4 linked regions of the Arabidopsis thaliana genome follow. The protein of the gene in region 4 interacts with the protein of the main gene of each other region in a pairwise test. Each region holds a gene or a part of one and is shown on either strand. Other genes may lie near its edges.

Evidence for each region.
Region 1: the proteins of UBC32 (region 4) and AT3G59740 interact in a protein complementation assay, tested with the Arabidopsis thaliana proteins (one large-scale study listed by BioGRID).
Region 2: the proteins of UBC32 (region 4) and LCV1 interact in a protein complementation assay, tested with the Arabidopsis thaliana proteins (one large-scale study listed by BioGRID).
Region 3: the proteins of UBC32 (region 4) and AT3G42725 interact in a protein complementation assay, tested with the Arabidopsis thaliana proteins (one large-scale study listed by BioGRID).

What each region holds. Positions count from the first base shown.
Region 1 is NC_003074.8:22,065,848-22,071,307, reverse strand, and holds AT3G59740 (Concanavalin A-like lectin protein kinase family protein), read left to right. Parts: upstream 1-2,249; coding exon 2,250-4,229; 3' UTR 4,230-4,321; downstream 4,322-5,460. Other genes in the region: AT3G59750 (Concanavalin A-like lectin protein kinase family protein), read left to right, coding at 11-1,453; AT3G59730 (Concanavalin A-like lectin protein kinase family protein), read left to right, coding at 5,429-5,460.
Region 2 is NC_003071.7:8,689,346-8,694,865, reverse strand, and holds LCV1 (uncharacterized protein), read left to right. Parts: upstream 1-2,375; 5' UTR 2,376-2,631; coding exon 2,632-2,760; intron 2,761-3,108; coding exon 3,109-3,161; intron 3,162-3,237; coding exon 3,238-3,347; intron 3,348-3,429; coding exon 3,430-3,597; intron 3,598-3,686; coding exon 3,687-3,784; intron 3,785-3,925; coding exon 3,926-4,052; intron 4,053-4,166; coding exon 4,167-4,252; 3' UTR 4,253-4,573; downstream 4,574-5,520. Other genes in the region: RPT2b (AAA-type ATPase family protein), read right to left, coding at 29-112, 206-346, 438-654, 759-928, 1,331-1,576, 1,657-2,130.
Region 3 is NC_003074.8:14,841,725-14,845,892, reverse strand, and holds AT3G42725 (Putative membrane lipoprotein), read left to right. Parts: upstream 1-2,174; 5' UTR 2,175-2,202; coding exon 2,203-2,811; 3' UTR 2,812-3,044; downstream 3,045-4,168.
Region 4 is NC_003074.8:5,794,491-5,800,673, forward strand, and holds UBC32 (ubiquitin-conjugating enzyme 32), read left to right. Parts: upstream 1-2,439; 5' UTR 2,440-2,805; coding exon 2,806-2,916; intron 2,917-3,404; coding exon 3,405-3,536; intron 3,537-3,634; coding exon 3,635-3,719; intron 3,720-3,858; coding exon 3,859-4,022; intron 4,023-4,539; coding exon 4,540-4,977; 3' UTR 4,978-5,257; downstream 5,258-6,183. Other genes in the region: NRPB9A (RNA polymerases M/15 Kd subunit), read left to right, coding at 36-64, 319-394, 834-992, 1,129-1,209; AT3G16990 (heme oxygenase-like, multi-helical), read right to left, coding at 1,447-1,762, 1,858-2,075, 2,162-2,293; REM22 (AP2/B3-like transcriptional factor family protein), read left to right, coding at 5,970-6,074. UniProt on the Arabidopsis thaliana protein: Accepts the ubiquitin from the E1 complex and catalyzes its covalent attachment to other proteins.

The sequences.
Region 1 (5,460 bases), about 16 Mb from region 4:
CAGCGGAAAGGTAATGCGGCTTTCTATCGTTTATAGTCATCCTGATCAACAGCTCAATGTTACTTTATTCCCGGCTGAGATCCCTGTTCCGCCACGGAAACCACTGCTGTCTTTGAATCGAGATCTCTCCCCGTATTTTTTGGAGGAGATGTATTATGGCTACACGGCATCGACTGGATCCATTGGAGCATTTCATTATATGTTGAGTTCGTACGCTACTCCAAAAGTTGAGAATCCAACATGGGAGTTCATCGTAGTCCCAACCCTTCCTCCATATCCGAAGAAATCGTCTGACAGAACAAAGAAGATTTTAGCGGTCTGCTTAACGCTTGCTGTGTTCGCTGTGTTTGTCGCCTCGGGAATCTGTTTTGTCTTCTATACGAGGCATAAGAAGGTTAAGGAGGTTCTTGAGGAATGGGAGATTCAATATGGACCTCATAGGTTTGCCTATAAGGAGCTTCTCAATGCCACAAAGGATTTCAAGGAGAAACAACTTCTTGGAAAAGGAGGCTTTGGTCAAGTCTTTAAAGGAACGCTCCCGGGTTCCAATGCAGAGATCGCTGTAAAACGGACTTCTCATGATTCAAGACAAGGCATGAGCGAGTTTCTAGCCGAGATATCGACCATTGGTCGTCTCAGGCATCCAAATCTAGTCAGGCTTCTGGGATATTGTAGGCATAAGGAGAATCTCTACTTGGTTTATGACTTTACGCCCAATGGAAGCCTTGACAAGTATCTAGACCGTAATGAGAATCAAGAACGGCTCACTTGGGAACAACGTTTCAAGATCATCAAAGATGTTGCATCTGCTCTACTACACCTGCATCAAGAATGGGTACAAATCATCATTCATAGAGATATCAAACCAGCTAATGTCCTAATCGACCACGAAATGAATGCAAGGATCGGGGATTTCGGATTGGCAAAGCTGTATGATCAGGGACTTGACCCTCAGACATCTAGAGTAGCGGGAACATTTGGTTATATCGCACCTGAGCTCCTAAGAACAGGAAGAGCGACCACAAGCACTGATGTTTATGCCTTTGGGTTGGTAATGCTTGAAGTTGTTTGTGGTAGAAGAATGATTGAGCGACGTGCACCGGAAAATGAAGAAGTTCTTGTGGATTGGATCTTAGAGCTTTGGGAAAGTGGGAAACTTTTCGATGCAGCTGAGGAAAGTATCCGTCAAGAACAAAACAGGGGAGAAATCGAGCTTCTTTTGAAGCTAGGTCTGTTGTGTGCACATCACACTGAACTGATTAGACCGAACATGAGTGCGGTTATGCAGATCTTGAATGGCGTTTCGCAGCTTCCAGATAATCTTCTTGATGTCGTAAGAGCTGAGAACTTGAGAGGAATGCCTGAAACATCAATCGAAGTACTACTTGGTCTTAATCTGTATTCAGTTGGTACAATGACATTAACAAATTCTTTCTTGTCCCATGGACGCTGAAACCGTTAAAGAAGTTAGTTTGAATGAACAGTTACATTCAAGCTTTTGTATCGTCTATTTGATGAATCACTACATTAGGGTTTCTTTATCTTGAATCAGTAAAGCCTTCCGTTTCATCCCCAAGTTCTTATATCTTAAATTTTTAGGACTCAACATATAATATGTTTTGTATTTTCTGCTTTCAAAGTTTTCTTGTTGGATTTGTTTAAGAAACCGAACTTTCAAGAGCAATGGCGTCAAAACAAAATGGCGTGAATTGCCAAATCAGTGACATATAACCAAAAACATTCTAAACTACTTTGATGTTGTTACACTACATAGGATTAATCTCAATATATAATGATCAAACCATGACAAATTAGTGACATATAACTTCACTTTTGCCTTCAGACCAGTAGAGAATTTGTTAGAATCTACACTAAATTAAAAATGTTAAACATACGTTGTTTTTTCTACAAAATGGTTGTGGAAAAATAGCTTTGTTGGATTGCTGCTTTTTAATTATGCTTTTCACACTGTTGTTATTAGTAATTTAATACTTCAAAGTATTAAGATCGTAGAAAAGTTCTGTCTTTTGACGACACGCTCTACCAGTCCCACTATAATTGCTTTACGACTTGATCTAGCTCATGTGCTTAAATACATATGTTTTTTTATTACTAACGAAGAATAACAAAAATAAAAAGAAAAAAAGAACGTTGGGTTCCCATTATTTTCGACCGTAATTCTTATGAGATGATAAATATTACATTAAGATCATAACCTTCCCATAAGCCAAAAAATAACAAACAAGAACATGTCTCATAAAGTCTTACAAATAGTTCTCGTTCTGTTGCTTACTCTGTTTTCATCTACTCACAACTCCAATGGCAACTTCCTCATGGAAGAAGCTGCAGCTGCAGGTTTAAACGGTTATTGCCTTTTAACAAACACCACGAAGCATTCCTACGGTCAAGCTTTCAACAACACTCCCGTTCCCATCAAGAACTCATCTTTCTCATTCAACATCATCTTCGGGATCGTCCCTGAACATAAGCAGCAAGGTTCACACGGTATGGCTTTCGTTTTCTCTCCTACAAGAGGCCTTCCCGGAGCTTCCCCCGATCAATACCTGGGAATCTTTAACGAGACAAACAACGGTAAAGCCTCGAATAACGTTATAGCTATCGAGTTAGATATACGAAAAGACGAAGAGTTTGGAGATATTGATGATAATCATGTTGGGATTAACATTAATGGTTTGACATCTGTTGCCTCTGCTTCTGCTGGTTACTATGATGATGAAGATGGAAACTTCAAAAAGCTTTCTTTGATCAGCACAAAGGTAATGAGGCTTTCCATCGTTTATAGTCACACCGATAAACAGCTCAATGTTACTTTATTACCTGCTGAAATCTCTGTTCCGCCACAAAAATCGCTCTTGTCTTTGAACCGAGATCTCTCGCCCTATTTTTTGGAGGAGACGTACTTGGGTTTCACGGCATCGACCGGGTCGATCGGAGCACTCTATTATGTGATGCAATTTTCCTATGAAGAAGGAGTTATATATCCAGCATGGGACCTTGGCGTAATCCCAACCCTTCCTCCATATCCAAAGAAGTCGTATGATAGAACACGGAGGATTTTAGCGGTCTGCTTAACGTTGGCCGTGTTCACTGCATTAGTCGCTTCCGGAATAGGTTTTGTCTTTTATGTGAGGCATAAGAAGGTTAAGGAGGTTCTTGAAGAATGGGAGATTCAGAATGGACCTCATAGGTTTTCTTATAAGGAGCTTTTCAATGCCACAAAGGGTTTCAAAGAGAAACAACTTCTTGGGAAAGGAGGCTTTGGTCAAGTCTACAAAGGAATGCTTCCGGGTTCCGATGCAGAGATCGCTGTAAAACGGACTTCTCATGATTCAAGACAAGGGATGAGCGAATTTCTAGCCGAGATATCGACCATTGGTCGTCTCAGACATCCAAATCTAGTCAGGCTTTTGGGATATTGTAAGCATAAAGAGAATCTCTACTTAGTTTATGACTTTATGCCTAATGGAAGCCTTGACAGGTGTCTAACCCGTAGCAACACGAATGAAAATCAAGAACGGCTTACTTGGGAACAACGTTTCAAGATCATCAAAGACGTTGCAACTGCTCTACTACACCTGCATCAAGAATGGGTACAAGTCATCGTTCATCGAGATATAAAACCGGCTAATGTTCTACTCGACCACGGCATGAATGCGAGGCTCGGGGATTTCGGATTGGCGAAGCTGTATGATCAGGGATTTGATCCTCAGACATCTAGAGTAGCGGGAACATTAGGTTATATTGCACCTGAGCTCTTAAGAACAGGAAGAGCAACCACAAGCACAGATGTTTACGCCTTTGGGTTGGTTATGCTTGAAGTCGTTTGTGGTAGAAGATTGATTGAGAGACGTGCAGCAGAAAATGAAGCGGTTCTTGTTGATTGGATTTTAGAGCTTTGGGAAAGTGGGAAACTTTTCGATGCAGCTGAGGAAAGTATTCGTCAAGAACAAAACAGAGGAGAAATTGAGCTTGTTTTGAAGCTAGGTCTGTTGTGTGCACATCACACTGAATTGATTAGACCGAACATGAGTGCGGTTTTGCAGATCTTGAATGGCGTTTCGCATCTTCCCAATAATCTTCTTGATGTTGTTAGGGCTGAGAGATTGAGAGGAATTCCTGAGACATCAATGGAAGTACTACTTGGTCTTGATCTGAATTCTTTTGGTACAATGACGTTGACGAATTCTTTTGTGTCCCATGGACGCTGAAACCATAAAAATAAGTTAGTTTTGATCAAACATTTATATTCCATCGGGAGCTTCTGTATCCGTCTATTTGATAAATGAGTACATGTTTCTGTATCTTTGAATCATGAATGCCTTCCAATTCATCCCTAAATTTCTAGGGTTTACTTTTAGGGTTATAATATGTTTGTTTCATTCTTGCTTTCAAAGTAATCTTGTTCGAATTTGTTTATAAAACCAAATTTTCAAGAGCAATGACTTATAACTTAATTAACTTTTTTTTTTCTGTAGACCAATACAAAATCTGTTAAACTTTACATTAAAACATGTCAAAAAACTTATTTTTTTTACATTTTATGGTCAACACGTTGGTTGTTAAACTTACATTGTTTATCCATTTCTACGCTCCGTAATGTTCGACGGATTAGGTTGTAGAAAAGATAAGAGAAGCTTTTTTGACCTTTTTATTTCTTTGGTAGAGATCTGAGAAGAAAAGTTTTTTTGATTATTGCTTATTATGCTTTCCACTATAATCGCTATTTAATCTTAGCAAGAATTAGAAGATTTGTTTTCTTATAATTGATTTACGACTTTATCTTGGCCATGCACAGTGCGTAATTACTAAATAGTGTACATGTGTTTTTTCTCTCTTAAGTTTGCTTACTTATCTTAGTTCGTTGGCCGCATATAACATGAATATTCATTAGATAAATAATTAACAGCAATAGGTAAACAGCAACAATAACAATAGTTTAAGTCCTAAGACTAATCAACACATTAATGGAACGATAAGAAGAGATTCAAGAGAATAATTAACAATAATGTTTTGTAAAAAGAAGAAAAAAAATACAAAAAGCAAATAGGATGTCATAATCTCATAACCAATATAGCAAAATTTCAGTAGTAAAATAGGTTTGCAAACCTAACATGGGTCCGCTTCTACACTCTGACAATCCCACAATAATTGCTATTATTAATTGAAAAATGATCAGAAGATTATTTGTTTATTGTGTTGCGGTTTGATCATCTAGGCCATGTGGGTAATTAAATACAAACTACATATGTTTATGACATGACCAGTTTCGTTCACATTATATTGGCTTGATCATATTCATACAGTTTTACTTATTTTTATGTTGTATCTTCTTACATAATTCTTCTGATAAATATCACATTACGATCAAAACCTTCCCATAAGCCAAAAAAAAAAAACGAACAAGAACATGTTTAGTGAAGTCAAAGTCTTACAAATAGT
Region 2 (5,520 bases), on a different chromosome or scaffold from region 4:
GAGATTGAAACCAGTCGTTGTGCATCATTCACATGTAAAGACCTTCAGGAACTCCTTCTTTCTTCTTGAACATAACCTTCTCCTTCGCCTTCTTGAAGTCCACATGCGTCACCTAAACCAATAGAAGACCAAACAAAGGTTAAAGTAAAATTATTCAAAGATTGCGTTCGATGAATCAAGTGGTGAGAAGCCAGAGAATCCTTACTTTCATCCGACGCTCTCTAAGAGCAAGCAGACCAGCTTCTGTGCATATTGCCTTTATATCAGCTCCTGAGAACTCGTCTTTTGTCATTACAAACTCTTCTAAGTTCACATCTTCAGCCAAAGTCATCTTTGATGTGTGTATCTAATAATGGCATGCAATTAAAAACCGATCAGATCTTTCTAGAAAATTCACAAAAAAAGAAAGAAAACTTAAGGATCACCAGTTGTGGAACCTGGAAGATACGTCTTCTTGTTTTGATATCTGGAAGAGGGAATTCGATTTTCCTGTCGATCCGGCCTGGTCTAAGAAGTGCCGGGTCAAGACTCTCGATCCTGTTTGTCGCGAGAATAACCTTAACATCTCCTCTTGAATCAAACCCATCAAGCTGGTTCAGTAGTTCCAACATGGTTCTTTGGATTTCACGTTCCCCACCTGAGTTTGCGTCATACCTGTTTCAACCACCATTTTATATCACATATTAGATACCATCTCTTGAGCAAAATCAAGAACATTGTTTATCAATGGATCATGTTTATGTTGTATTTAGGCATACCGCTTGGTGCCAACAGCATCAATCTCGTCTATGAAAACAATAGAAGGAGAAAGGTCATCAGCAACCCTGAAAAGTTCCCTCACAAGCTTGGGACCATCTCCTAAATACTTCTGAATCAGTTCACTACCGACAACACGCAAGAAAGTAGCTGAAGTAGAATTTGCCACTGCCTGAAAGAATAACAAGAAATAACACTTGCTCATCTCCAACAGTTCCGAATTTAACAAGCATAAGAGACACATTAAAAAGAGGCACACTGCAACAATCCATGCTTGCGACATAGACAAAAAGAAAACGAAGACATTAAATCAATCCACGTGACTCTGAAAATCTTCCTCTATCTACACAAGTACTATGATCTAATATCTCAATTCTAGGTGATCAAACCAAAGAAGCCACTGTCCTGACTAATTCATCTTTCTAGTGAAGATTGATAAAAGACAGAAAATTTTGCATGCATGACTTGACATAAAACCAATCATACTTGGGAAGTACCATTATGTGCTGTATTAAGCAATTAACAACTAGAAAGCTTATTATATAATGGATACACTATAGGCTAAAAGACGAACCTTAGCAAGCAATGTCTTCCCAGTGCCTGGCTCACCATACAAGATCACACCTTTTGGTGGCTTAATTCCAATATCTTCATACAGCTCGGGATGTGTTAAAGGTAACTCAACAGCTTCCTTAATCTCCTGAATCTGAGCTTCTAAACCTCCAATGTCAGCATATGACTCCAAAGGAGCCTTCTCCACTTTCATCACAGACACCATTGGATCCACTTCATCTTGAAGAATCCCAACAACAGAGAGTACCTATCACAAAAATAATAAAAAATATCACATAGAAGAATTGGTTCAACGTTTCCATGGAAGAGCATTGTAAAACTCAATACCTTGTTATGCATCAAAATAGAGCAGCCAGGTTCAAGCTGATCCTTATCAACGAAAGACAAAATGCCAACGTAGTACTCAGGACCAACCGAAGAAGAAACAATGGCGTGATTCTCATCAATAAGCTCTTCAAGATTGCCAACACTCATAGGTGTACCACGAAGATCATCAACTTTAGATCTATCTTCCTCAGCTTTCTCTTCCTGAGGTTTCAATCTCTCCTGATTCGCTACGAACTCTTCCTCCATAAGCAAATAGTCCTTGATTCGCTCCAATTTCAGCAATCGAAGCTTACATTTAGTAGAAGGAGTCACCGTCGGCAATCTCGCCGCCGCTTCAGGTCCTTTCTGCTTCCGTTGCTTCCTCCCTACACGAGCAGGTGGTGCGGCTGGTTCGAACTTCTTCTCCTTCTTCTCTCCACCATCTGGTTTCCGATCTCCTTGCCGATTCAATCCGCCGGAAGGTCCTTGACCCATTGTGCTTCGTCTCTCTGAGGTTTCTTGCTCTCGGAGAAACAAATCTTTTAATCTGATAACGGGAGGAGATGATTAAAGTGGGCTTATTATTTTAGGCCTTTTTACGATGTGAAAAACTTAGTGGGCCTTAGGTATCGCAAATTTTTTTAAAACTGATTCAACCTAAGCTATTATCTGGTTTAGTTCAATAACTCGGTTTAATTATCTTTAATTTCGGTTTAAGTTTTGTAAAAGTCAATTCGTTGGTTTGGTAGTTGGTACGGTCAATCGGTACAGGTAAGGAACTTTTCTTTTGCCATTTGGGGAAATCGAATCAAAAATCAATTTCATCGTCTTCTCTATCTGTCATTCATCATCATCACAATCATCATCATCAAATCTCAGGATCTTCGAGGTGGTTCTTCTGTTTCGCAACTAGCTTCTAGATTGTGATTTACAATCTTCGAACTCTCGGTGAGTTTCTAGGTTTAGGGTTTTATCTCTCTTTACACGACAATTGTTATGGCCAATCGAGAAAGAGATCGAGAGCTTCTGATTCCCGTCGCTGATTTCGGCGACAAAGACGATGGTTCTTCTTCGAAGCCTTCTTCTTCTTCCTCTGCTTCTTCTTCGCATCAATCCGGCCACGAGGTCTAGTTTTTGTCACCTGATCTAAAAACGTGTTCTTCGTTTTCTCATTTCAAGATTCATGCGAAACTAACAGTAGAATTGGATGATAGTTATTCATAGATTTGGTCGATTCTGTCTCCCCTTAGTTCAAAATCTTGGAACTTGTTTTGCCCTAGATTCAGTATATCACAAGAACACTTGCTTAGATAAGTTTGGTAGTTGTGATTGAGTAGAGTATGAATTTGCATTCCAAGTTGTTGTGGTTGGAATCATTCAGATTCTTGAGTCTTTGTATTATGCTCATTCATGTTTTCAAGCATGTATAACTTATAGAGCATTGTGGCCTGATGCTTTAGCTCTTTTCTGCAGACTTTAAGCTTGTTCATTAGGGGTTGGGCGTCAAAGAAGTTCATGACAGGCTGGTAAGGAAGAGTTGAAATTTTGGCATTTGATGAAAACTTCCACAGATTAGTTTTAAGTCTCCATTGCTTTTTGCAGTGTTATCCTACTTCCTATTGCAGTTACTTTCTATACAACATGGTGGTTTATTCACTTTGTCGATGGATTCTTCTCTCCAATATATGCACTACTTGGAATCAACATATTTGGTAAGAATTTGAATGGCCCCTCTTTATCCTATTAACAACTTGATATCGGTTTCCCACAATGAGTTTGATTATTGTTTTGTAGGTTTCGGTTTTTTGACTTCCATTGCATTCATCTTCTTGGTTGGGGTGTTCATGTCTTCGTGGTTGGGGGCATCGGTTCTGAACTTGGGAGAGTGGTTTATCAAGCGGATGCCATTTGTTCGTCACATCTACAACGCCTCCAAGCAAATCAGCACTGCCATATCGCCTGGTCTAGCTTGCTTATAAAAATCTTGTTTTGCTTCTCAACATTAAGTTGATCTCCTATCTCATCTTGTTCTTATCCATTTCTCATCACAGATCAAAATACACAAGCTTTCAAGGAAGTTGCAATCATCAGGCATCCCCGTGTAGGTGAATATGCATTTGGCTTCATTACATCAACTGTTGTTCTCCAGGTGAGTGAAAATACTTTGCTCAAGGATTTTGTTATTCTTTCCAGAACGTCTCCTTGAGGATACAAACAATTTCGAGTTATATGGTTTACCATAATTTCGTAATCTTTTTACCCAATGTAATAATGCTATTCGTTCTTGCAGAACTACCCAACCGAGGAGGAACTTTGCTGTGTATACGTTCCCACGAACCACCTTTACATTGGAGATATACTACTTGTCAACAGTAATGACGTTATCAGGCCAAACCTCTCTGTCCGGGAAGGAATTGGTGAGATTTCAGAATCTAATTGTCTATACTAGATACATTTATCGTTTGTTATATAGCATTCAAATTATTTTGTGGAAAGATACTGAACACTGTATACTCATTCTTCATCTGCAGAGATTGTTGTTTCCGGGGGAATGTCAATGCCGCAGATTCTATCGACTCTTGATAAACCTTTGGCCTCGATTGGAAATGAATCTTAAAGTGACTATTCAAAAACCTTTGGCCGATCGATAGGAAAAAATAAAAAATCAGAAGAGACGTTTCACAAAATCTGAGCGAATAGAGAAACCAAAAAACACAGAAAAATTTGTCGAGAAGTGTAATTTGTCAATATTATTTGAATAACCTTGTTTTCTTTTAGCCCTTTTAAAAATAATTTTTTTTCTTTTCTTATAGATTATAATTTGTATCCGCGTCCTTGTGTCTTTCATATTACTGTCGCATTGACTTTATAACAAAAAGATAATCAAAGATAATCCCACCCTAATAATAATCACATGACAAATGGCAATATCGTTTTACATATTAGGGAATAGTATAAAATGTGGTATATATAGAGAGACATTGTTGATCGAAGAAAAAAATGGTCTAACATTTCTCTGTCTAGCTCTTCTTTTGATCTCAGGTACGTTTTGTTTCCAACATGTTACTAATTCTTATGGTGAAATAAAATACTGCAGCTAAAAATGTATCGACCAAAATTTTCTTAGAGGAGGATTGTGCTTAGCACCTGACCTAATTATGAATCTTCATTTCTCTGCCTTTGTAAACTTTAATTTATTTTAGAACTTTATCTCATATAGAAATCTCAAATATATATATATTATAGTTTTTGCTTAACTTTTATATTTAAAATAAATCTGAAAGTTGTAAGAAAATTATTTTCCATATCAGATTTAACATTGGGTGCAGTCTTGGGAAAATATATAATCGTTAGAATAATTTTCTCTTTTAATGTGATAATTCGAAGACGTATGTAACAAACAAAAATGACAATAATAAATATTACAGTATAAATCATTTAAAACATATACTATAATTAGTTATTTTTTGCTTAAATATGATGGAATTGTTTTGATATTGCTTAAGAATCAAAAATGTTTTACTCTAGATAATAAAATATTTATTGTAAAGTTTATTTTTACGATGAATGTATATGATTTCAAGTAGAACAAATAAATTTTTGATATATTAATTCACAACAATAAAATTAATCTTTTCATCTTTTGAAAATAATTTGTATACAGTAATTTGAAACAAAAATTAATCATGTTATAATTAAGAAAAGGATAAATAAAAGAAGACAGATATAAAAAGAAAAATCCAAAAACGACAGAGAGCTCAAGTTGGAGTTAGCTAAGCTTAGCTACAAAAGAACAGTCGCCGGCAAAAGTCTCAGCCTTTTTCCTCTCCGCCGTTCACAGTTCACCGGCATTTCTCTCTTCTTTCTTTTTCTCCGACTAGATTT
Region 3 (4,168 bases), 9.0 Mb from region 4:
AATACAATCCACATCTCATTCACCTTCTTTGTCACTAACTGACAGCATATTAGTCCAAGGACAAGCTTAGCATTGAAAGATGCCTTGTTTTTGGGTATTTTAAAAAGTTCCCCAAATGGAGAATCGAGAAGAAACTGCATCTCTGGTTTCCCCTTTAGTACATTTGCTATGTTAGAAATGTACTCCGGTTTAGAGTACGCGTTCATCTTTGTCTCGGAAGGGTACCGGTCTATAGCAAAGAGTCTTGGTGGTAACTCTTCAACTGTAAGATCTTCAATCGGAGCAACACTTGGACTACCTGCAATTAAACGTGATATATTGTTAAGCAAACCGAAGTAGTGTACGTACACAGACATTTTCCAGATTATAACTCAAAATCATATTTTTGGCGGAAACAGAGATTTCCAATTCTACTTCTCAATTTTTCATCCTAAAGATATGCTAAATTCCGACTAGTTCTAACCCTTTAATCAAACAAGCTTTACAATTCTGATACACCCAAAGAAAACAAACGGTAAATTAGAGATTCTAACCCAGTTCCTCCGTTGCCTTTGTCGCAGAGCGTTTTCTCTGCGGGGAAACTCTTAATACCCGCTTCTCCTTCCCTGGACCATGCTGCTTCCTCGGGACTTCTTCGTTTGCTTTATTCCCAGCCATAGCTAAAGTTGCTATCTCGCCGGAGGTTCAAATTTCGTCGGAATAAACAGTAACTTTTTCTTGGCTTCGCCGGGAAAAACAGTAACTTTCTCTTCCCCGGATGTGGGAGTTCAGTGACTCAATTCAACTACCCAACAATTCGAAGTTATGTCGAATTTTGAAACAATGGATACTGAATTTCGTTTCGCTTTCTAATTCTCTCTCAAATCTCTCCGTTACTCTCTTCTCTTTTTCTTTTTCTTCGGTTTCTTCGTTTCAGTTTTTTTGTTTTGTCTTTTTCAAAACTGAACCGCATCAACTAAACCGAAACCAACTGCTGTAGGGTTTGGTTTATGCCATCAACTGAACCGATACGAACTGCTGCACGGTTTGGTTTGTGCCATTATTAAGTTTTCCCAAGGTAATTTGGTCCGAAATTGAATGAAAAGACAAACCGTAAAAACCAGTTCTCACTTTGACAAACGGTGAGAGCAAATCTTTTTTCGTCCACTTCTGTAAATTTTTTTTTAATGGTTAGTTTGCTTTTAATATTAAAATATTAAATATATTGGTTTTGAGACACTAAAAAAATAATTATGCAATGAGAATGCTCTAATGGTCTAATCTATGGTTTTCCGTTGATTAATACAAACCTTATTTTTTATTACTTGTGTCAAATTTCACCGTCCTATTTTTGGTGTCTTCAAACATCTTTGTTTTATGTTTACCTTTTTTGTTTTAATTATATTATTAAAGATTGTGTCTTGGTTTGAAGGAAAGAAAAATCTTTAGATGCATATTCTATTGTTTTTAAGCTCTTAATTTTTTATTAGAGTTTCAATTGGCTTAACTACAGTGACAAATAAAAGAATTAATGATCGATTGTGTTTCGACGATGATTTTTTTACCGAAATATATACCCAACGACCAAGGTTGATCTTGGAAATCGTACGATTACTCATCGAACACATGTTGTTTTGCACGCAGTTGTTGACACGTGGGTTTGGATGGAGTCAAGACACAATTTCTTTTGCAGTTAAACAGTAATCTTATAAGCTCATATTGTACCTCAATATTTTTATAATCTTTTTTGGGATTTTTGGTATAGTCTATGTATATGTAAATAAAATATTAAAATATTGCAATTGAGAAAGAAGAAAAATTTAAATATTTTAGATGCTTAAAAAATACAATTGACATAAAAGAGTATTTTATGGACAACATGAAATATATCAAAAATAATAATCCTTTTCAAATTTCTATTCGAGTAGCAATTTAGTTTTAGGTCTTTGAGAAGAAAAGAAAAAAAAAAGCAATTTAGTTTCAGGCATTTATGTAAACAATAATGATAAAATAGTATTACTAATTCAAATATATACGACCGTCATTTTCGTGAGGCTAAAGGTCAAAAATCTATTACAATACTTTTGTGAAGCCCATTATGTCAATATAACCGTTAAACCTCATCATAGCCGTTACATCTTCTCCCCAACGGGCGCTTAGTTTCTTACTTTACCTATATAAAACTTGAAACAAACAAAAAAAACATAATTTCACAAAACATCAATGGCTTCTTTTCACAGAAAGTTATGTTTGTTCCAAAACATTCTCGTATCGTGTCTGAATTTCACTCTCCTCCTCCTCTCCCTCTGTTCTTTCGTACCAATCATTCTTCTTAGAAACCCTCCAACTTCACTCGGTTTAGCCTTCCTCGCAGTCTCACTCGTCTCTCTGATCTCCTCTTTCGGTAGTGCCTCTTCGCACCAATCTCGATCATGTTTCATCGCGCGGATAACGCTTCATGTTTCCTCACTGACGGGTCAGTTTATTGCAGTTTTAATGTTGTTTAGTAGAGAGAAACAGAGTCTTTCTTTGCTGATATCGACTCGAGACCCTAGAGAGGCTAAAGCTTTGGTTAGAGTAGAATGTGGTGTTTTCGTGGCGATGATTCCGTTACAGATAATGGTTCTAGTGCTGGCTTGTTTGTTACATTGTTATTGGGTTAGAGAGTTCGAAGGGTTAGATGTTGAGAGTGAAGATTCTTTTAGAAGAAAATGTAACCGAAGAGTCTCGACCGCTGAAGATGGGACTAGTTCGGATTTAAAGAAAATGGAGTTGGACGAGAAGATGAATGTGAAACATGTTCAGTGGGTTAAAACAGATTTCGAAGGTTAAAGTGTTTTTATGAATCTATAGTTTGTGATTATTGTTCAAACTTCAAAGTTATATTTTATGTCTTAGTTAAGAAAATTATTTATTTGCTGTTACAAAACTTTGTTAGGTTTTCTACAATGTTGTAAGTAATATGTATGGCTACTTGAATTGTCCTAGTAATGGTTGATCTTGTATTTTTTTCTCTCGTACATCCACCATTAGTGGGTAATTTACATACATACACTAGTACAAAGATGCATGTATTTATTTTGCATTCTTTCATAACCATAAGAAAGATGTCTTAATATCATCATACTACGATCCATTAGCTGTTCCTAAGATCTCAGAGATTCAAAGCAAATTATTCGGCTCAACGATCAAACACATCCTAATGTAAAAAGAAGAAGAACCAAAAACAACCTAATCCAAAAGGGAAAAGCACCAAAAACCTAACTAGAAACTCTTTAAGACTGGACTCGGGTTTTGGAAACCTCTACGGTTGTATGTGATACCGTATCTCGTATCAATATCTTGACCTTGGGTGAGGTGGTGGCAAGCTTCAACAGGTTCTTCAATATCTTGAGCTTGGGTGAAGCGGTGGCAAGCTTCAACAGATTCTTCAATATCTTGAGCTTGGGTGAAGCGGTGGCAAGTTCCAATAGATCCTTTGTGAGTTGCACCTTTTGGGGGTCATCCATTGGAGATGACAACTTTCACAACTTCAAGACACTCCATTTCCAGTAAGAAATGGCTAATCTGTTTCAGCACGTGTGCACTTCCTTGATAATGCATGATACTCAATATCTTTACTTGGTTATTTGTGGGAATATGAATCCCCACAAACCGATTTCTTTTAAATATGTAACGATGCAGACCCTGAAACATCAAGAAGAGACACTACTTTAATGTAATGCCAGTCATATTATTAAGTAAGATTTCTTAAGGGTTTGCTTCGTACCGAGAGAACCAGAGTTTTAGGTTTGGAGAACGCTCAGCATAAGTGGCAGAAGCTTCCTAAAACATTTTTTTTAACACGAAAACAATAACTCAAGGAGGTTGTTGACAACAGGTAGTCCACCTTTGCAGCATACTAAAATCACCTGAAATATACACACAAAGAATATTTTTCTTGTTTATAGGCAAAAGATGATGAGAGCATACACTAAAACTGACCTCGACAGCAGAAGAAGTCAGGTGCAGGGTCTTGACGTTGCGTATCCCGCTGATGAGATTCCACATCCCCGTAAACCAGCAGCCCATTTGATTTTTTTGCGAAAGTAATGTCCAGTGTAACTTTGGCAAGTGAATCCAAATTACAATGCAGAGACCCCGGCAGAGTATAATCAGAGTAGTGGAGGTCGACAACGCTCAGTGTGTC
Region 4 (6,183 bases):
TGGAACCTAATTCTCTCTCAAGAGATTCAGCTAAGATGAGTACTATGAAATTTTGCCGCGAATGGTAAGAGCTCTCTTATGCTAATTCTGTTCCTAGTTTCTGGAATTGCACCTCTCTGCTCGTCTAGGTTTTTTCAAAGTTTCGAAATTTGCATGAATTTTTTAGTTTTTGTTGTTTACTTTTGATGTATTTCTTCCGTGGTTGAACCATCTATGGTTGATAAGGTGACAATTCGCTAAAAGTGAGTACCTTTTTTCGAATTTTGTTTTTGGGTCCTTTCTTAATTGCATTGTTGTTTCTGTTTGATTTTGGTTCAGTAATAACATTCTGTATCCTAAGGAGGACAAAGAACAGAAGATCCTCCTCTATGCTTGCCGTAATTGTGATCACCAGGTATAGCTTTTGGTCATTTTGTACCTTTTTTTTGTGTGGAAAAAGGGTTTTTAGTGTTCAATGTAGTGCACAAAATTGCGAGTGGGACTTAGTTTCATTGCAATTAAGAGACTTTAATGAAACTGTTTCCTGCTTTTATCTCTCTTTTAATGCTCCTAGTTTCCTTAGTTTTACCAACCTCTCTATTTACTAACTCCTTCAATTAAGGCTTAGCAAGTTCTTATGGTTTATCTTTCTAGTGTTGTGTTTATGAGATCTATATGAATACTTGAAGGGCCTCTTTTAGCTTATTGATTTACACAAACTGAGTAGTTATTTGCAATTTTTTAAGCTGCATTATCAATCTTGTTGTTACAAATTGACAGATTAGATTAGATCATGTAAATGGGTTTGTTGTCCTCATCTCAGAATTTATACTTTTTGTGGCACTGACTTGCAGGAGGTAGCTGATAACAGCTGTGTGTACAGAAACGAGGTTCATCACTCTGTAAGTGAGCGAACTCAGATCTTAACAGACGTGGCTTCTGACCCTACTCTTCCCCGAACCAAGGCTGTGCGTTGCTCTAAGTGTCAGCATAGGGAGGCCGTTTTCTTCCAGGTATAACTCTCTTAAGCTCCATTATTTATTTAACTACTTGGTTATGCTGTATCTTCACTGTTTGCTTCCCCAAAACATTATGCTCAAATTCTGTACACCGCTTGAGGATTTAATGTAGCTATCATTGAATGTGCAGGCTACGGCTAGAGGTGAAGAAGGAATGACACTGTTCTTTGTCTGTTGCAACCCGAATTGTGGTCATCGCTGGAGAGAATAAAGAGCTTTTCGGTTTCAATTGGTGAGTTCTTAAGAGTTTTAGGAGTTGATGTAGTTACCAGTAAGTGTAATATGTGGAATGACGGGAACAACCTTCTGCCCCAGTCAGAGACAAATCCGTATTCATGTAATCTGTTATGAAACCATAATCTCAACTTGTGTTTCACCAAACATAAAGATTGGAACTTGTTTCTCTTTGGCATTTAGAGGAAATGAGAAATTCAAACCCAAACATTAGCTACTGTCCTCCACGGCTCATCTCCCAGAAGGCAACCTCTAGTTCAAGAACTCGTACAAGTACATCTTCAGCTTCACCGAGCACCTCACCGGAGGCATTCTCCAGACAACGTTCGGCAATGTTCTTGACAGACGAACAATACTGTTTAAACCCGTCATTCCCCCAACGATGACAAGCACCGGTAAGCTCCACCGGAGTTTTGTTCCCGTCTTCTAAACAATGAGCAAAGCTCTCTTGATACACTGCTTCAATTGCCCAGAAAGCTGTCATAATCACCGGATACTTCACCTCACTGCTCATCAGATCTTCCAAAAACCTGAATTAACCAGAAACTCCGGTTTATTTGCTGGTTCCTAATTTCATTTTCGAGTGTGAGAAATCTATTCAATCAGCATATATGAAATCAATAACCTGCCATATTCTTGATTAGCTCTTTGAGGCACAACGGTCGAGAAATCAACATCCCATTTCGATCCTTCTCTTTTAAACCATTCTATTTCATCATTCAACGATGCTATACCACCAAGCACCACTTCCATATCGGAACTCTCGCCGGAATCTTTGCAAGCTCTGATCAACACACTCGCTACAAACGGCACAAACCTCCTCACGAACAGATAATCTTGCCCCTACAAGGAAACAACGTCGTTTAAAAGTCATCGAGTGAGATTTCATATTTTGCCTTGTTTTCATCAGTAATTACTAATTACAGTACCAGCCAAGTTCTGAAGGACGAGAGATCAACGGATCCGTCACGGATCGAGACGACAAAAGCATGACGTGTAGCCGCCGTATAGATCGAACGGTGCTTATCAATCCATGTGTCGATCACCCCTCTCTTCTCCATTGAAATTGCTTCTTCTTCCTTTCTCTCAAGACTCAAGACTCAAGACTCTTCTTCTTCACCGATTCACTGTCAACGCTTTGATTTTCTGTTGTCTGTGACGTGCACGTTTCATTGGGCTTTAAATTAATGGGCCAAGGCCTATTAAAGTCTCGCCACGATAGCTTAATGATTCTCCCAAATCGACGGCTGTAAAGAGGCGCTTAAATTTCTCAGATTACGTGACAGTTTCTGAACCGTTGAGATGTTTGGATGACTAAAGTTTATTAATTACGTGGCACTTACTCAGAAGCTCTCTCACGTCACGTATCCGTCGTTAAAGAGTGTGACGTGGAAAATGTTTTGGAATTAATTTTGTGTGTTTGTATTATATCACCGTACTAATTAGCTCATCTCCCGAAGCCATGTGGTAATTCTAATTTTGTGTATTTATTATTTTCTGTTAAGACGAATCGGACAGAGAGAACTCCGGCGGCGGATTGCACTTCCGGCAAGATCTCGTGGGGATAAATAAGATGGCGGATGAGAGGTATAATCGGAAGAATCCGGCGGTGAAGAGGATTTTGCAGGAGGTTAAGGAGATGCAAGCTAATCCGTCTGATGATTTTATGTCTCTTCCTCTTGAGGTAACATCTCCGATTCTAGCTTTTTAGATCGGGAATTTTGATTCGAATCTATATTTGAAATTTCCTTTTTTGAGAAAATCCCCTTGTCTTATGTTGTTGTGTTATGTTGTGTTGTGTTGTAATTGTGTATCTGTTCTGAGTGATGGTGTTTGATTTTAGGCGATCATGATTAGGGAGGATCGATATATCTTCTTGTATACACTGAATTTACTAAGTCTCTCTACTTTCAACACTCGTGCAACAGATAAAGTTTGGATTTTTGTGTTTTTATTGGAATAACTGAGTCAAGTGGGGAAGATTACGAACGATTCCTTGATCCACTCAGCTGTCATACTAGTTCTTCGTTTCTAATTTTTTTAACTGTGAAGACTTTTTCCAACATGTCATGGTCCAAATAGATTGCGCGCGATGTTATAGCTGTTTTTTACAAGTTCTTGTGTGATACCAAATAGTTTACATGATTACTCTTATCTATCTTTTAACTTCAGGAGAATATCTTTGAGTGGCAATTCGCCATCCGAGGTCCTGGTGATACTGAATTCGAGGGCGGGATTTATCATGGGAGAATTCAGTTGCCTGCAGATTATCCATTCAAACCTCCTTCATTCATGTTATTGACCGTAAGGATCTTACTCTTATTTCATATATAAAAACACACAGATGTTGCAAGTTCCATAAGAGAGTATGTATCTAAAGAATCTCTGTACTTTTGTTTCAGCCTAACGGGCGCTTTGAAACTAACACCAAGATTTGCTTGAGCATTTCAAACTACCACCCTGAGCATTGGCAACCTTCATGGAGTGGTAAAGTCATGGATCTCAAGAGACCTTATCTCTTGACTTTTATGTTGTTTCCTAAAAGATTACTCAGACACTTGTAATTTACATGAGGTTGAACTATATCAGCTCTTTTGTATTATGATTGAGCTTTGTTTCTTTTCAGTTCGGACTGCTTTGGTGGCTCTCATTGCATTTATGCCCACAAGTCCCAATGGAGCACTGGGCTCAGTAGATTATCCAAAGGATGAGAGACGTACACTAGCCATTAAATCACGTGAGACACCACCTAAGTATGGCTCTCCTGAACGGCAAAAAATTATTGATGAGGTATAGTTCCCCACTAGAATACCCTTGGGTGTTGAACCACTATGCATAATATCCTGATGAAAATATATGAATTTAGCTAGATGCTTGCTGAACCTGTAGAGTATGTGCCATACCATTGCATTGCATCATTATAAACCATAGGACTAGCTGGTGGTCAAAACGGGATCGCAATATATTATATATTAGGCTTGCATATCTCTAGCGGTTATGATTTAATGTTTGCTCTAAGAGTATCTGCTTTGTTTTAACTGCAATCACAGCTGTTATTATTCTCTCCATACAGTAAAATTTGCTGCTCAAGTCCTAACACACCATTTTACTGATTATTGTCGTTTTTAAAAAGTAGTCAGTTGCACAAATATAAAAAAAAAGACAATAGTAGTGTTAACAATCTCCTTTTGGTCTAAACTCTCGTCCCTTTCTTCATGATTTTTGTTATGACTTTAGTTTCATACCTCTGATTCATCTTCAATTTTGGAAAAAACTTTTAGTAACCATGACCTTTTAACAAGCGCAGATTCATCAGTACATCCTTAGCAAAGCAACCGTGGTTCCAAAACCTCTTCCTCTGGAATGTAGCCAAGCACCTTCCATCGTATCAGAAGCTCACTCCCAAGTTGAGCCACAGGAAGCGATAACTGTAGTAGAAGAGCGGTCCATCGCTACAACAGACACCATAGTTGATGATCAAATCATAGAAGAGACAGCTGAAGCAGTCAATACAGCAGCTAGTGTGGTTCCCGCTGCAGCACCTTTACCAGCGGTTGAAGTTGTGGTCAAAGCTTCTGTAAGTGGTGAGCAAAGGATGGCCAGAAGAGCGGCTCAGAAGCCAGTCGATGACAGACTCTTCACGTGGGCGGCGGTTGGGCTCACAATCGCTATCATGGTTCTTCTTCTGAAGAAGTTCATAAAATCAAATGGTTACAGTACTGGGTTTATGGATGATCAGTCTTGAACTCTGATGAAAGTCAATGCTGCGTTTAAGAAATGGGGTTGTGTTGTTTAATATTTTATAAATATAATTAAAGTGCATAATGGCGTAAATAATTTCTGTGTGACATTGTCTTGCAACTTAGTTGATAGATTGGATTATAGCTTGTGACCAAGTTAACAATATGTATTTTGGAATTGAACACTGACGACCGTTTTATCAATACATTGATGCTTTGTTAATAGAATTGTTGATTACCTCCACTATGTTCATAACTATTTCCCGTTTTGAGTACATGATGTCTAAAATGTATCCAAATTTTTAAATCAATAGATTTCATGGTCAAGTTTAACAATTTGATCATATATGTATGTATATGAACACACATGTAGTGAGTCGTGTGGTTTATATATTTGTGTGTATTTTCATTATAAATTACAGAAACATATTAGTTTTGGGGTATCTTCTGCACACATTAGTTTGGTGTGATCTCATCTTGTACCTTATTTTTTTACTTTTCAGTTTAGAAAAGGTTATCAACTTTGACCTTTGACTGCCATATAACGTTAAAAAGAGAAAAAGTTACCGAAGGTTCAAATTAATAAATGAAGTTGATCGTAATGAAAATAATATTTTTTTAAAAAAGAAGGGATGGTGGCAAAAGAAGCTAAGTTAAAAGTCTATCAGTCCTTATTGCTCAGGGATCCTCAGGTACTAAAACTAGCAAACACTGCTTTTGCGTGTCTTTGAAGTCAGATTTTTAACAGCAATTGTTTCATCTGCCTATTACTATAAAATAAAAAAACACTTTGATTTATGGGAACGTGACTGCTTTTTCCACTATTATAACCTTGACTCGTTTTTAATGAAAAGAAGCATACATATTTGGATACTCACTTTTGCCCATTTATAACACCAGAGAGAGAGATATAGGGATAGGGCGAGAGAGAGTTATACTAAAGAAACTTGAAGGAGAGGAGGTTCTGAGTGAGATAGAAGAAGGAAGAGAGAGAGAGATGGGTAAGAGTAGTAACATAGTTTTTGATCGGATTAAAGAAGAACGGCAGATGTTGAGCTTTTTCAAGATTTTTCAGAGGGCAGATCTATCCTCTGACTGCATGGTAACGTTGTTCTTGATATCTTTGTTTGAAAAGTGGGAATCTTTTTCTTCTTTTTGTTGAATGGGTTTCAAGTCTACGGCTTATTCATCTTTTGGTTCTCTTTGTTTTA